Linked DNA regions of Mus musculus: all the other regions are reported to be linked to region 3. Evidence: microRNA targets listed by miRTarBase, many of them from high-throughput screens and not tested one by one. Region 3 holds a microRNA gene; each other region holds the end of a gene's coding sequence.
What was found. The annotated mature microRNA mmu-miR-380-5p reads AUGGUUGACCAUAGAACAUGCG and lies in region 3 at 2,455-2,476, opposite strand. An mRNA with a match to its seed (bases 2 to 7 or 8) in the 3' UTR can be bound and repressed. Matches are read on the target gene's strand: a 7mer-m8 pairs with bases 2 to 8, a 7mer-A1 pairs with bases 2 to 7 and ends in A, and an 8mer does both.

Region 1 (4,249 bases), not on the chromosome of region 3:
TTACTCCTTGGGAGTAGTGTTTTCTGCAAGAGGTAGGCTACTGATGATAGGGAAATGGTGGTGGGAACAGGGAAGCATCTAGCATGAGAGTAAGAACTTCAGGAAAGCAGGTTTCCAAGGACACAGCCAGGCTTTAGCTGCTTTGGGGGGTAAAAAAAAGAAATGCCTTAGTAGTTAAAACTGACAAAATGAACATTTTGGAAAGGCAAAGGCTCTTTTGAAACATTTTCTGAATTCTTCTATTGTAATGCATTGCATATACTATTTATATTATGTACAAATAATTTGCATTTTAAACAAAACTTTTAAATGCTTTTTTAAAGTATAAATCAACATGTTTTTTTTTTTTTTCCATTTTTTATTAGGTATTTAGCTCATTTACATTTCCAATGCTATACCAAAAGTCCCCCTTACCCACCCACCCCCACTCCCCTACCCACCCACTCCCCCACTTTGGCCCTGGCGTTCCCCTGTACCGGGGCACACAAAGTCTGCGTGTCCAATGGGCCTCTCTTTCCAGTGATGGCCGACTAGGCCATAATCAACATGTTTTTTAAACCACATTAGTTTTATATTTTTCTTACCTATGTTTTTTGCATCTCTATACTTTCTTATATGACTTGTTTTTCTCTTTCAGGAGTCATATGAACGAGCAAAACATATCTTGAAAACACATGCGAAAGAACATAAGAACCTGGCAGAAGCATTGCTGACCTATGAGACTTTGGATGCCAAAGAGATTCAAATTGTTCTTGAGGGAAAGAAATTGGAAGTGAGATGATAACTCTGTTGATATTGCTGGTTTTATTACAAGAATATACTTAGTCCTGCAGTCTCCTTTGCAACATTTTTCAACCCCCACTCCTGACTTGGTATATAATTCAAGGATGTGAAACACTTTGTCAATCTTCTGTCCCATTATTTGATTTTGGTTATTCCTGTGATGATACCATTGGAGATTAGTAACTCATAGCAAATACGTGAAAGGATAAATAAAGAACTGTCAGGATTAAAGAAAGACATTGAAAAATGTCAATCAATCATGTTGAAAGCAAGCAATCATTTTGTGGGTAATTACTCCAAGTGAGTAAAAATTGTGCCTTTATCTATTGGTAAGGTTTTTTTTTTTTTTTTTTTTTTTTGGAAGGTAAATTTGAAAAGCTACCATCTCCTGATAGTAACATTTCTCTGTGGGGAAAACAATGCTGTGGATAAATCATTTCTACTTACATTAGTAGAAATGCCATTGAGATGTACTTAATTATGTTCTTGATTGACCTTGTAAAATGGCCTTTAAAAGAAACTATTTGAATTGTAAATATGACGATATACTCAGAATTTAAATGATTGTAATGGATTAAAAATGCAGCATGTATGCCCATTTTTTCAAATATTACTATCTCACTGACAAGATTTGTTTCAGAACAACAATATTTTATGAAGTAAACAAGTAACATTATATTCTGAATATCTGTATAATTACATTGAATCTCAAAATCAAAATGAAACCAAAAACTCAATTCCTTTCAAAAATGATCTTTCTCTGTCGCCTTGTCAGAATTGGAAGGCTTGTTCCATCTGCACATTATAGGGTTTACAAGGTAATTTCATATTCAGATCAGTAGACCATAGTGTGAGTGCATTTTATTGGTGTTACAACCAAGTTACATTCTTGAAGGAACTATTAAAATTACATTGTTTTCTTATTGAGGATGTTCATGGTCCTTATTAAAGAAGATAGATATAATTAAAGGGACCTTGTTACATGATATTTTGACCTTTTTTAATGTTAAATTTTTGATACACACAAATTTCACAATTTCAAAGTGAAAAATGTTGATAGAGCTCCATTATATTGATTAAGACCAACAGGTTTTAATTTTCACTGCTTTTTGCTGTCTCCATTGTCACTCATGTTCATGTGTTTGTTCTTTCTCTCTTGTGCCCTCATTCTCTACATATTCATGCATACACATATGGAAAAACATCGGTGTTTTATCTAACCTGACTTCAGACATTTTTACAGTCCCATAGAGCTGTAATTTTCATGTTATAAAACATATCCATTGTAAATATAGATACCAAAGACCCCCCCACCCCCTTTTTAAAATTGTGTAATTACCTCAATTAGGTTTTAGGACAATTTTTTTCAAGCCTTCAAAATTCAAAGTGACTACACAGTTTTGTATCTTGTATTATGTAAAGTTTCAGCTTCATCACTATTCAACATAAAAGTGCTGTTTCACTATCGACATCCAAATTGAATCCCAGTCTCAGTAAATTATATAGCAAGTTTACTGTGGCTTTTGAGTTTAGTTGGTTTTATTGCTTCTACTTTGTGTGTATGCAAAGACTTTAATAACCAAGTGTAGATATAATTAGCTGGAGAATTTTCTGCTCTGTATGTCTGGTAAACCTAGGATATTTCATGAAGTGATTATCAACGTCCTCTGGGTTTCTCATATCACAGAAAGATCACACTGATTGTATCTTGCAGAGTAGCCAACAGTTTTAGGCTAGTAAGCGGCTGATCATTGCGATCCGATTTAGTCAGTACTACATCAAGGCAGCTGAGTTCTCTGGTGAAATGAGGATAAGCCTTTTTTATATTTTTCTTGGGGTGGGTTCTTTTGTTGTTTGCTTGTTTTTTGTTGTTTGTTTAGTTTGGAGTCCTTTCCAGAAAGTTCTGTTTTGTAGCCTAGGCTAGCCTCCAACTGACATCCTTCCACCTGAGCCTCTGGGTGCATCATTCTTGGCACACATATCTTATTTACAGGGTCTTTCTTCACCCTGGTTTGAACTTGGGACTAGGAGCTGCCCTGAGTTGGCAGGACCACCAAAGAATCATGTTCTGGGTTAAATTTAGTGATTTTCATGAAGAAACAAGTCATACTTTTTTGTAGGTCTCTTGTTAATTCCTGGAGTCATAGAATGGTTGGTTGTTTTGGTTTCGTTGAGGTTTGTAGTTGACTCTTTTCAAATAAAAATGAATTTATCCTGATATATTTTATCACATTCCAACTGAAGCATTTTAAGGAGAGTGAATTTAGAAAAGAATTTTAAGCTTTTTTGAGCTCATATTCAATGCCATCCAAATGCCTGAATTGAATTATGAGAATTGGTCTCTCCTGTTTCTATCTCCCAGCATGAACACCCACTTAAATCATTCATTGTATGTGAAAATACCTTGACGTGTATCAAGCAAGCCTGGTTGCAGCATCCTAAGTTGGGAATGATAGAAAGACAGCTGTGCATTACTTAGGTTACACTTGCCCACATCTCAACAGCAGAGCATGAAGATACATGCTCTCCGTGGGGACAAAGGAAGAAAGTACAGAATCCGGTTTCAGACTCTAATACTGGGCTTGCACAGATCCCCACGGACACTTTCCCGTGGTGACAGTGAGATGGTGACTGACTGTAATGGCCATCAGCTCAGAGTAACCTATAGCAACAGGTATGCCTCAGCCCTCGGCAGTCTTGATTCCGTTCCCTCTGAATGCCACATCCAGCCACGGTAGTTCTAGGTTTAGAGTTCTTCTGCAGCTCCAGTGATCGTGACCTTAAGAATCTTAACAGAAGACCTGGGGAGGCTTACTATGGAATGCCATTTTGCAAAGTTAGGCTACAGAGGTTGGATTCAGCACAGCTTCAGTGAGCAGGCAGTAGGCCAGAAACAATTAGAAAAATAGCAAATCAAGATGCAAGTCAAGGTACTACTAGATAAAAGGGGAAATTTTAACTGTCAGTGGCAAAGAATATATAGCACCCCTTTTGAAAATATAAACCTCAAGGTAGTAATTTTGAAGTTAGAGCAATTTAATAGATTTAAGTAATTTTTTTAATCTTTTGAGTTTATACATACTGTGAGTGAAGCATAAAATGGTGGTAGAGAGCAGTAGCAATAAAATTGTGAGAAATTAACACAGCAACAAAAAAGCCCCCTAACAAATGAAAATGAAAAAAAATCAGGAGCCAGTGAAAGGACTCAAGTGTAAAGCATTTGCTGCTGGGACTGATGACATTAAGCCATACACATGGTACAAGCAGAGAACCAACTGTTCTTGTAGGGGTTTGTTTTATCAAGTTGACACAAACTAGAGTCAACTGGAAAGAGGGGCCTCAAGTTATAAAATGTCTCCATCGGATTGACCTAAGGCAAGTCTTGAGTCTTAGTGATTTGTGATCCGTTTGGAGGACCAAGCCCATTGCAAGTGGTGACATCTCTGCAGGTGTACCTGGGAGGCAC
Region 2 (4,249 bases), not on the chromosome of region 3:
TAGTGGGTAAAGTGATTGCCATGCAAGTCTGAAGACCACAGTTTTGGATTCCTAGCACTCATGTGAGGCCAGGTGGGTGAGGTGGTCTGCTTTCAGTCCCAGGGCTATGGCAAGAATCACCAGAGCAAGCTGGCTAGCCTGCATCGTAATCTCTAGGTCCAGCAAGAGATCCTGCCTCAGTATATAATGTAAGTGAACCAGGAAGACACCTATCAATCTTGGCCCTTCATACGTATGTGCACATATTCATATATATGTATGTACAATAAATAAACACATTACACACACACCACATAATGCAAAAACAAAAAGAAATGATTAGGTCAGAATGTTGGATATGTATTATTTCATATTTCTCCTGAAGTAGTCAGGAGAATAATAAAATGATAAGATAGCCATACAGAATGCCTATCCATGTATGTACTAAACCTTAGATGAATAGGAAGTTTTGTAGTAAAGTAACTTAGTATCAAATCTTCTGTTTTTCAGGTTGTATCATTTGTAAAGAAGAATGTTCTAGTGACTGGAGGATTTTTTGGAGGCTTTCTGCTTGGCATGGCATCCTAAGAACTTCACTTCATTGTTCTATTTTTATAGTTGTTTGTTTCTTGCCAGCAGCTTCTACACTCCAACATAGGACAATCGGCACTCCTCTTCCTCATCTTCTCCTGTGCCTTCCTCCCTGTTGTAGCAAATCTGAATGGCTTTAATAGGCTTCTCCTGGTGCAAGGTCTTCTCAGGCCTTCTCAATTTAACACGTTGGAAGAGACAGTAGGTGTTAACTCTTCCAGTACCCTCCTTACTTGGTTGGTGTGTAGCTTAACAAGAATGTTCCTTTTCCCCTATGTAAGATCCTTTTCCAAACTCAATTTGTTACCTTATTACATGTTACATGAAAAGGAACCAAATACATTTGCCTTTAAGCATGAAAAAATTTTGGTATCTTGGTGTATGCTTTCTTTTTAAATTGGTTTTAGGCTATAGAAAGAGAGGTATTTATACTTACTATAATTATGTTGCCAAAATGGCAGTGTAAGTACCAACACTAAAAATATTAAATGAACTTCTGCAAACAATGCATGAAGTAATATAAGTATTATATATGGTAGGTGGGTCTTTATGGAAACCAGCTGTAAGAACTTCATGAAATACAACATTTAAGCAAGAATTTGAAATGTATTTCTTTTACATACGAGTACTCTATCTGCATGTTCAACTCTGTGCCAAATCCCATTACAGATGGTTGTAAGCCACCATGTGGTTGCTGGGAATTGGACTTAGGACCACTTGAAGAGCAACCAGTGCTCTTAACTGCTGAGCATCTCTCCAGTCCCTTAAGCAAAAATTTTAAAGAGATGTTCCAGGCATTCAGAATAAGAATAGCATATGTGTAATAAATTATTTTCATCAAATGCAATCTCCATCAGAAATATTGCTTAATATAAAAATCCATGTATACTTTACATTATTCCATAATAGCTATTACCATGAGCTCAACTCCAACTACAAAAGCATCTTCCAGAAGTTAAGTCTTCTATCATCTTCATTATACCCACAGGGCTTACTGCTTAATAGATTTCAAATATTTTTGAATATATTAATTGTATAAAGAAAGCTTCCCGTTAAAGGTTAGGTTTACCTCAAATGAATTCTTAGATATGTAGATGATCCTTTGTGCAATAGTATATTTTTAAGGTCATACATTAAGCATAATTACTTTTTTGACATACCTTAACATTGACATACTTTTGAAAATTGAAACTACCAGTGGATGTGTAAAACTAATTAGGATTCACCTATTTGCATTTCCTCACTACGTTTTGATTTTATTTGAGCCAATATAAGTTATTCTACTTGTAATACATATTAATCATCTTTCCTTACATGGTAGTATAACCAGCCTTGGTATATATTTTTCTCAAAAATTTGAAGATGATTTTTCACTATTTACTGTGGAAACATAAAGAGAGTACAGTGATTTCCCCAAGTATCCATTGCTTGCCTATAGCAATCATGTAATTGTATTTTTTATCAATTATTATAATATACCTGCCATTTTATTGTTTGCCATATGTATTCAATACTAAAAATCTAAATATTTTTTTGTTTTAAAACTTTAAAAAAGGGCTGGAGAGATGGCTTAGCCATTAAAGGCTAGGCTCACAACCAAAAGTATAAAACTTTTAAAAAAATCATAATACCTTTTTATTACAGAAAAATTAATAATGGTTAATGTCAAAACCATGCAGTATTTAAAATCCTCTTTGTATGTACAATATATTTATTGACACCTGTGTGCTATCATCTGTTTTATAGTTCTTTGTATTCTTCTTGGGGTTGTGCCATTTATGGTGATTCTTGATGTAGCCATGTTGTTCTCCCTGTGTCTTAAGTATCATTGGCATGGTGAGAGCAAAAGCTACTGCAATGCCCCTTTGGGTATGTGGTGAGGAGTGGTCATCTAGTATCTCTCTAGTGGGTTGGTAGCTGACTTCTGATCCATCTGCTTTCTTTCTGATTAATAGGGGTTACAACTAATAGACTAGTGGACTGGAGTTCCTTCAAAAGGTTATAATAGGTAATGGTCTAGACTCACATTCTACCCTGGTCTGAAATAAAATCTATAATTCTATCCTCAAGTTGGTCAGACTCCACTTGTGTTTGTGTAGAGGTGGTGCAGAGGGTTATTAGTCACAATTAGCACACTTCAAGCTCCAGTTTAGGTCAGTGGTTAGTGAAGTAGCCTCAAGCAGTTTGGGGAACCTCTATTGAGGGCTCATTGAGTCAGCATCTTTGCTTCATCTTAAATGGGAGATTACTGGGGATGTAGCTCAGTGGTAAAGCATTTACCTAGTGTTTGTGAGGGCCTGGGTTCAATCACCAACATTGTGAGAACAGAATAGCCAAGCAGGCTTGAGTTTAAATGGGAGATTACATTTTCTGAAAAAAGCAGGTAGCTGTCTTTCCATGCACAACCTAAATGTTACCAGGGTGAGGCAGTTACACTATTGAATACATTTGGTTTTGATTAGTGTTAATGTTTTCAATGAAAATGACCCCCATAGTCTCATAGGGAATGACACTAATAGGAGGTGTGTCCTTGTTGAAAGTAGGTGTACCTTATTGGAGGAAGTTTGTCACTGGGAGTGGGATTGAGGTTTCAGAAGATCAAGCAAGGCCTAGTGGTTCATTCTCTTGCCTACTGATCCAGATGTAAAGCTCAGTCCTTTCTCTAACACTGTGTCTGCCTGCCTAGATGATAGATGCTTCCCACCATAATGATAATGGACTAAACCTCTGAACTGTAAGCCAACCCCAATTAAATGTTTTCGTTTATAAGAGTTGCTGTGGTCATAGTGTCTCTTCACAGAAATAGAAACCCAAAATAAGACAATTAGCAAGACCTGTTAGGCAGGGCACATTTTTTTTTTCAAATACCCAAAATCCAATAAAATGATAGCCCCTTTACCAGAGGTGATAGAGTTGAATTTCCTTGATGTAAGATACTGAGAAGCTTGGTGTTTAAAACTGTGTTGGTATCTTTACTTCCCCTTGCTGGCAGAAATGCAGTAACATTACTTCCATCACTACTCTATAGCTCCTGGTTCACTTCTGGTACCCCTCAAGGGCACTATGGCTCTGCCCTGCATCCTTACCACTCTGGACAACCTTTGGACCAAATGCACCTCCCATAAGAGATAGGGTAAGATGAGGATGCTGCTACAGAGTTGCAATCCTTATGATATTCTCCATTAGACAGAAGGCCCAGGGGTAGAATCAGAGGCACTTTCTTTTCTGGCATGCCTGTGTGGGCTCAATGGATAGATTACAACATTTCTACTCTACGCAAGGCTCTGTAATACTATTTTTGACCAGAAACCCAGGGGATGTAGGCCCACCCATTGTTTGTGATCATTCTTATAACAGGCTAACAAGACTCCTTCAAATGACCCCTTGTTTGGCATGACCCCTCAACACTCTAGACATTGGTAAGCAGTTTTGAGGTTTTTGACTCCCCCGTATGCCCCGTCATTTGGGCCAGAGCCCTTGCTACTGGATCTGGGAAGTTAATGTCTCATAGATTATGACAGACTAGACATAATTCAAATGGATTCAGCAAAGAAAGAGCTATGTAATTCTAGTTACTCTAGTTTTAAGGTGTGTGTTGTGGTTTTTGAAGGTAGAAGTCTGTAGTTAATTATTAAGAATATCCTCCTCATTTTTTTCATATTTGTCAGAAAAAAATGTA
Region 3 (4,249 bases):
TTCCAAGTCTCTTATTACAAGGATGTGGGTGTGTGTGAATAGCATGGATCTAGGTACCATCTGACACAGTGGGTGTTCTCTACAATAGACAGTCCTATAGCAGGGGTTGGCTGATTAAAAGCCCATCACCGTGCCTCCAAAGCATGCTGGACATGTGTGGGGGTGGCTGTGTCTAACCTGTTAGAAGCAAAGTGGGTGCAACCTACCTGTGATGACCTGGGGTAGAGTTGCCTCGGTGGCTGCCATCTTCCCCAACTTTGGAACACCATATTGGTTGAGAAGTCCTCCTGAGAATGGACAAGATACTGAAGGTTAGAAGCACAGGCAACAGAAATCTGATGTATGGGATGGGTTTTGTCCGTCACTCACTTGTTCATAACTATTAGTGTGTCCTCAGCTGAGGCTGAGGTATGGACCAGAAGGCCTCCATAGTTTGTTCTGATGGGAAGAGAGGTTGACCAAATGTGTTTCAAACACAGAAACCCCTCTTCCACATCCTCAGTTAACAATAACAATGACACCTTCCCAAACTGGACCTTCAGACCTGGCAGGCCTGGGAGGGTTTAGAGGACAAAGGACACCATTCAGAACGATAATCCACTCGCTGGCTTTGTGGAGAACCAGTTATTCCTGTCCCCTGGCTGGATGCTGACAGGACCATCCTTCCCTGAGACTGGGATCTGGACCACGAAGCCTCCAAGATGGGATTTGATACTGAAAAAAAGGTTAGCTGGGTGTGTTTCATTCTCATCAAAGAAACAGAGACCCAGAAAACCTCTCTTCCGGTACCAGAAGCGAACACTGACAAGACTACCTCGGTAATTCCCCAACGTGACCTTCAGACCTGGCAGGCCTGTTGAATGCAGGGTTGCACACTGGATGTTAGTCAAAGTGCTCAAGCAAGCCATTAGTTGATATATATCTGACAGCCATCCCATCACATGCCCCAGTACAGCAGACCTCCATGGCATGATCCTGAAGTTATGTCACAACCAGAGAGCAGTGGCGCAGTAGAGACTGGCTATAGGACTTACCACCATTTTGGGTAACCACAGAAAGGCACAGATGCCCCCAAACCAAAGATGATTCCTCCCACAGATTTAGCATGCAAGTGTGCTAAGGTGACCTGCGACCTGTGCCATATATAAATGGCATACACACACCCTGGTCATGTCTGACAACATGGTACGTTTCTTGAACTTGGATGGCCCCATATCAAGGAAGGGATCCAAGTATAGGACAGCATTGGAAGCCCATCCAATACTACCATAACAGGCACATATGTTGCAAGTACTGAGGATGCTGTCTCCAAGTCTAACAGCGTACAGCTGGCTTATTGCCTCTGTCCCCAAAAGTTGAGATCTCTTCCAGGAAGTTCTCCAAGGGAAGGTTAGATACTGAGGGTTAGTGGACCAGGTCACAAACGGCACAAATATAGCGTGTGCTCTCTGGTCAACCACCTCACGCACCCACACGTGTATCACATGTCGATGCCACTTTCCTGGTCTGCAAGTCACCCTGCCCACGAAGCTGCCAAGCCAGAGAAATTTGCTGAGAAGAAGGCTGCCACACAAGAGTTATTGTCAGACACAAGAAAAGACAAACCCGCTGGCTGGGTTGCGCTAGCACACACATTTAGTGTCCCCACCCCACAGCTGGTGTTAGCTCCAGGAAAGCTCGCAAGGCGGGATTAGATACCGCAAAGAGGTCGACCGTGTAATGTGCGCCATAAATGAAGCGAACGCGCCACGGACCACCTCTCTCCAAGTACCAAGCAGCAGCAGTAGGAAGACCGGGACACTGGCTCTTCCTCAAAGCAGATGTCACCTCCTGGAAGTCTTCCAAGGCGAGATGTGATATTGAGAAGAAGTAGACCATGTGTCCTACGTCATAAATAAAGCGTACACACCATGGTCAACCGCATCTTCAAATACCTTGAGGTAACGCTGGCTGATTCCAGCTCACTTTACTTAATTTGGTGTTACCTCCAAAATGCCTTCTCAATGAGTGTCACAAACTACCAGCAATCGGCATGTGTGGCAATGGCCACAAACTCATGTTTAATGCCACTATGACTTCCAGGATGCCCTGTAAGGCTGGGCTGGGTGCCAAATATTGGCTTTGGATCAAATGGCCAGAGTCGTAGGTAATGAACATGGCCTGTAGCCAAGCACTGGGTAATCTGTGTTGGATAGGGTCTGCCGCCTGAGCCCTACTCTCAATTGGTATGGCTTTCAGAAAGCCCCTGGTGACCGGCTGATGCAGAGATGTGGTGGACCATGCTGTACATGCTGGAATTAACGCACACACTCGACAGTCTACCATCTCCCCAAGTACTGTGCTGAAGCCAGGACAGGATATCTCCCATGAAGTTGGCTCGGTCTCTGGAAAACCCTCACGAATGACTTTGATAACGAGAAGATGTGGACCATACTACATACGACACAGAAGTAGCGCATGTTCTATGGTCAACCATCTTTTCAGGTACCATGGAGAGAGGGTGGTGCAGGAGCTGGCTTCTTTCCTCATGATTATCACTTCCAGGAAACCCTAGATGCAATGTTGAAAAGAGACCACCATGCATTGCCTGCTGCAGATGCAGAGAATATAGCAAAGAGAAGTTTGCAAGGACGCGAAGAGAAGACCCCGTAACTAGCACTGTGCCTTTAAGGAAATATTGTTCACAGGAAGCCCCCAAGGCGCATTCACTATTATGGGAAGGTGGACCAAATTAACATGCGCTGTAAGTAAAGCAAGAAGCATGGACAACCTCTACCCCAAGGCATTTGTCCTTCTGCCTTGCCCCCCCACCCCCAAGGTTAATGGGGCCTCTTTGGAAACCTTCAAAGCTGAAGTTGATATTGAAAAGAGTAGGCCAGGTTACAAATGGTGTTAATAATACACATGCAGTTTGCTTGATCCCTCTTCAGGTACCGTGAGGTCATTGCTGATGCAAGAACCAGAGCCCTGTCTCTGAGGCTAGCAGCATCTTCAGCAAGTTCTCCAAGGCTGGGCTGGAGGTAAGAAGAAGTGAGCCAAGAAGCAACTTTGATCTGTAAGCATACATGGAGGAGCCAGGCTGGGTCATCTTCCTCTAGAAGGCTAGACTTGATATGGAAAAAAAGATACTATATACGAAGCATCAGTGGAAACAGGGACTGTGTCTTCATGCATCTGTCTTTGCACTGTATCATGTAGCCCTAGCTGTCCTTCTATGGGCATAATGTCTTGAAGGCATCTGATGATAGCTTTGCAGATGATGAAAACACGCAGCATCCCTTGATGATGAGCATCTGTGGAGCTAATTGCCACTTTTTCAAGTCCTAAGGAGGGAGGGAGCATGCCCAGTTGGGATGTAGGACACCTTCCTGGAGGTTGTCATCATCCTTGAAGAAGCCCTTAAGGGCTGCACTGAAGCTGACAGGAACACCTTGCCACATGAATTAACAGAGAAAGCACACAAAAAGCAGAGGGATGTTTGGCCAAGCAGCCCGATGTAGAGAGCAAGCCAAAACAACGTTTCTTCTCTCACTTCAGGCTTGCTCGAGGATGGTATGGACTGGATGGCTGGGCTGGATACCAAGAAGCGGTTTACCGTCCCACATACATACTCAAAATGTATGTGGGACGGTAAACCATTTCTTCAAGTACCGCGTGACAGCAAGGACAGCTGTAAGAAGGTTCATGTCTGCCAGGTTGCCTCAGGACACCTCTTCAGGGATGGTGTTGAGAAGAAGCAGGTCATGGAGTCTACTAACCAAGAGTCGCCTAGACACCCCTGTCACTGAGGTCACGAAGAGCACTGATCCCAGAAAGCTTTGTGGTCTCCTCCCCAGAGATGGCAAGAGTTCCCAAGGCAGAGCTCAGCAGAGGAAGGGGGAGATTATGTCATTTCCCATCATGCAGGAAAGAACACACGCCATATTGAAAACCATCTCTTCCAGCATCATGGAGAAGCCCTGATGATGAGTCTACTGGCGTCTCCCCGAAGACAGCATCTTCTCCAGGGGCCTCGGGGATGGATTTGATACTGAGGGTTAGTGGACCGTGTTACATACGTCACAGATAAAGCGTACGCTATACGGTCTACTATCTCTCCAAGTACCACACAGAGACGCCGAGGACAAAGGCTGAGGGCACGTCCAGGAAGCCCTCTGGGCCATTGAGCTGGTGGAATCTTGAGTCTGGCTGGGCACAAAGCATGCATCATGCGGCAGGCACACAAAAGCCAAGAGTCTCATCTTCATGT

Region 1: the mRNA of Yme1l1 is a reported target of mmu-miR-380-5p. Seed matches in the 3' UTR shown: 7mer-A1 at 1,657-1,663.
Region 2: the mRNA of Fundc2 is a reported target of mmu-miR-380-5p. Seed matches in the 3' UTR shown: 7mer-A1 at 2,164-2,170.

What each region holds. Positions count from the first base shown.
Region 1 is chr2:23,196,251-23,200,499 of GRCm38, forward strand. It overlaps Yme1l1 (YME1-like 1 (S. cerevisiae)), which reads left to right. Exons shown (of 19, transcript NM_013771.5): 19 at 638-3,010. The coding sequence ends at 781. Among named protein-coding and RNA genes, the nearest start is that of Potegl, 9.1 kb to the right of the region's middle.
Region 2 is chrX:75,393,821-75,398,069 of GRCm38, forward strand. Fundc2 (FUN14 domain containing 2) reads left to right here. Exons shown (of 5, transcript NM_026126.4): 5 at 490-3,338. The coding sequence ends at 567. Among named protein-coding and RNA genes, the nearest start is that of Fundc2, 14 kb to the left of the region's middle.
Region 3 is chr12:109,710,033-109,714,281 of GRCm38, reverse strand. It overlaps Mir380 (microRNA 380), which reads right to left and starts at 2,479; the gene lies at 2,419-2,479. Mir411 (microRNA 411) reads right to left here and starts at 4,107; the gene lies at 4,026-4,107. It overlaps Mir299a (microRNA 299a), which reads right to left and starts at 3,644; the gene lies at 3,582-3,644. Mir299b (microRNA 299b) reads left to right here and starts at 3,589; the gene lies at 3,589-3,637. It also overlaps Mir1197, Mir323, Mir758 and Mir329.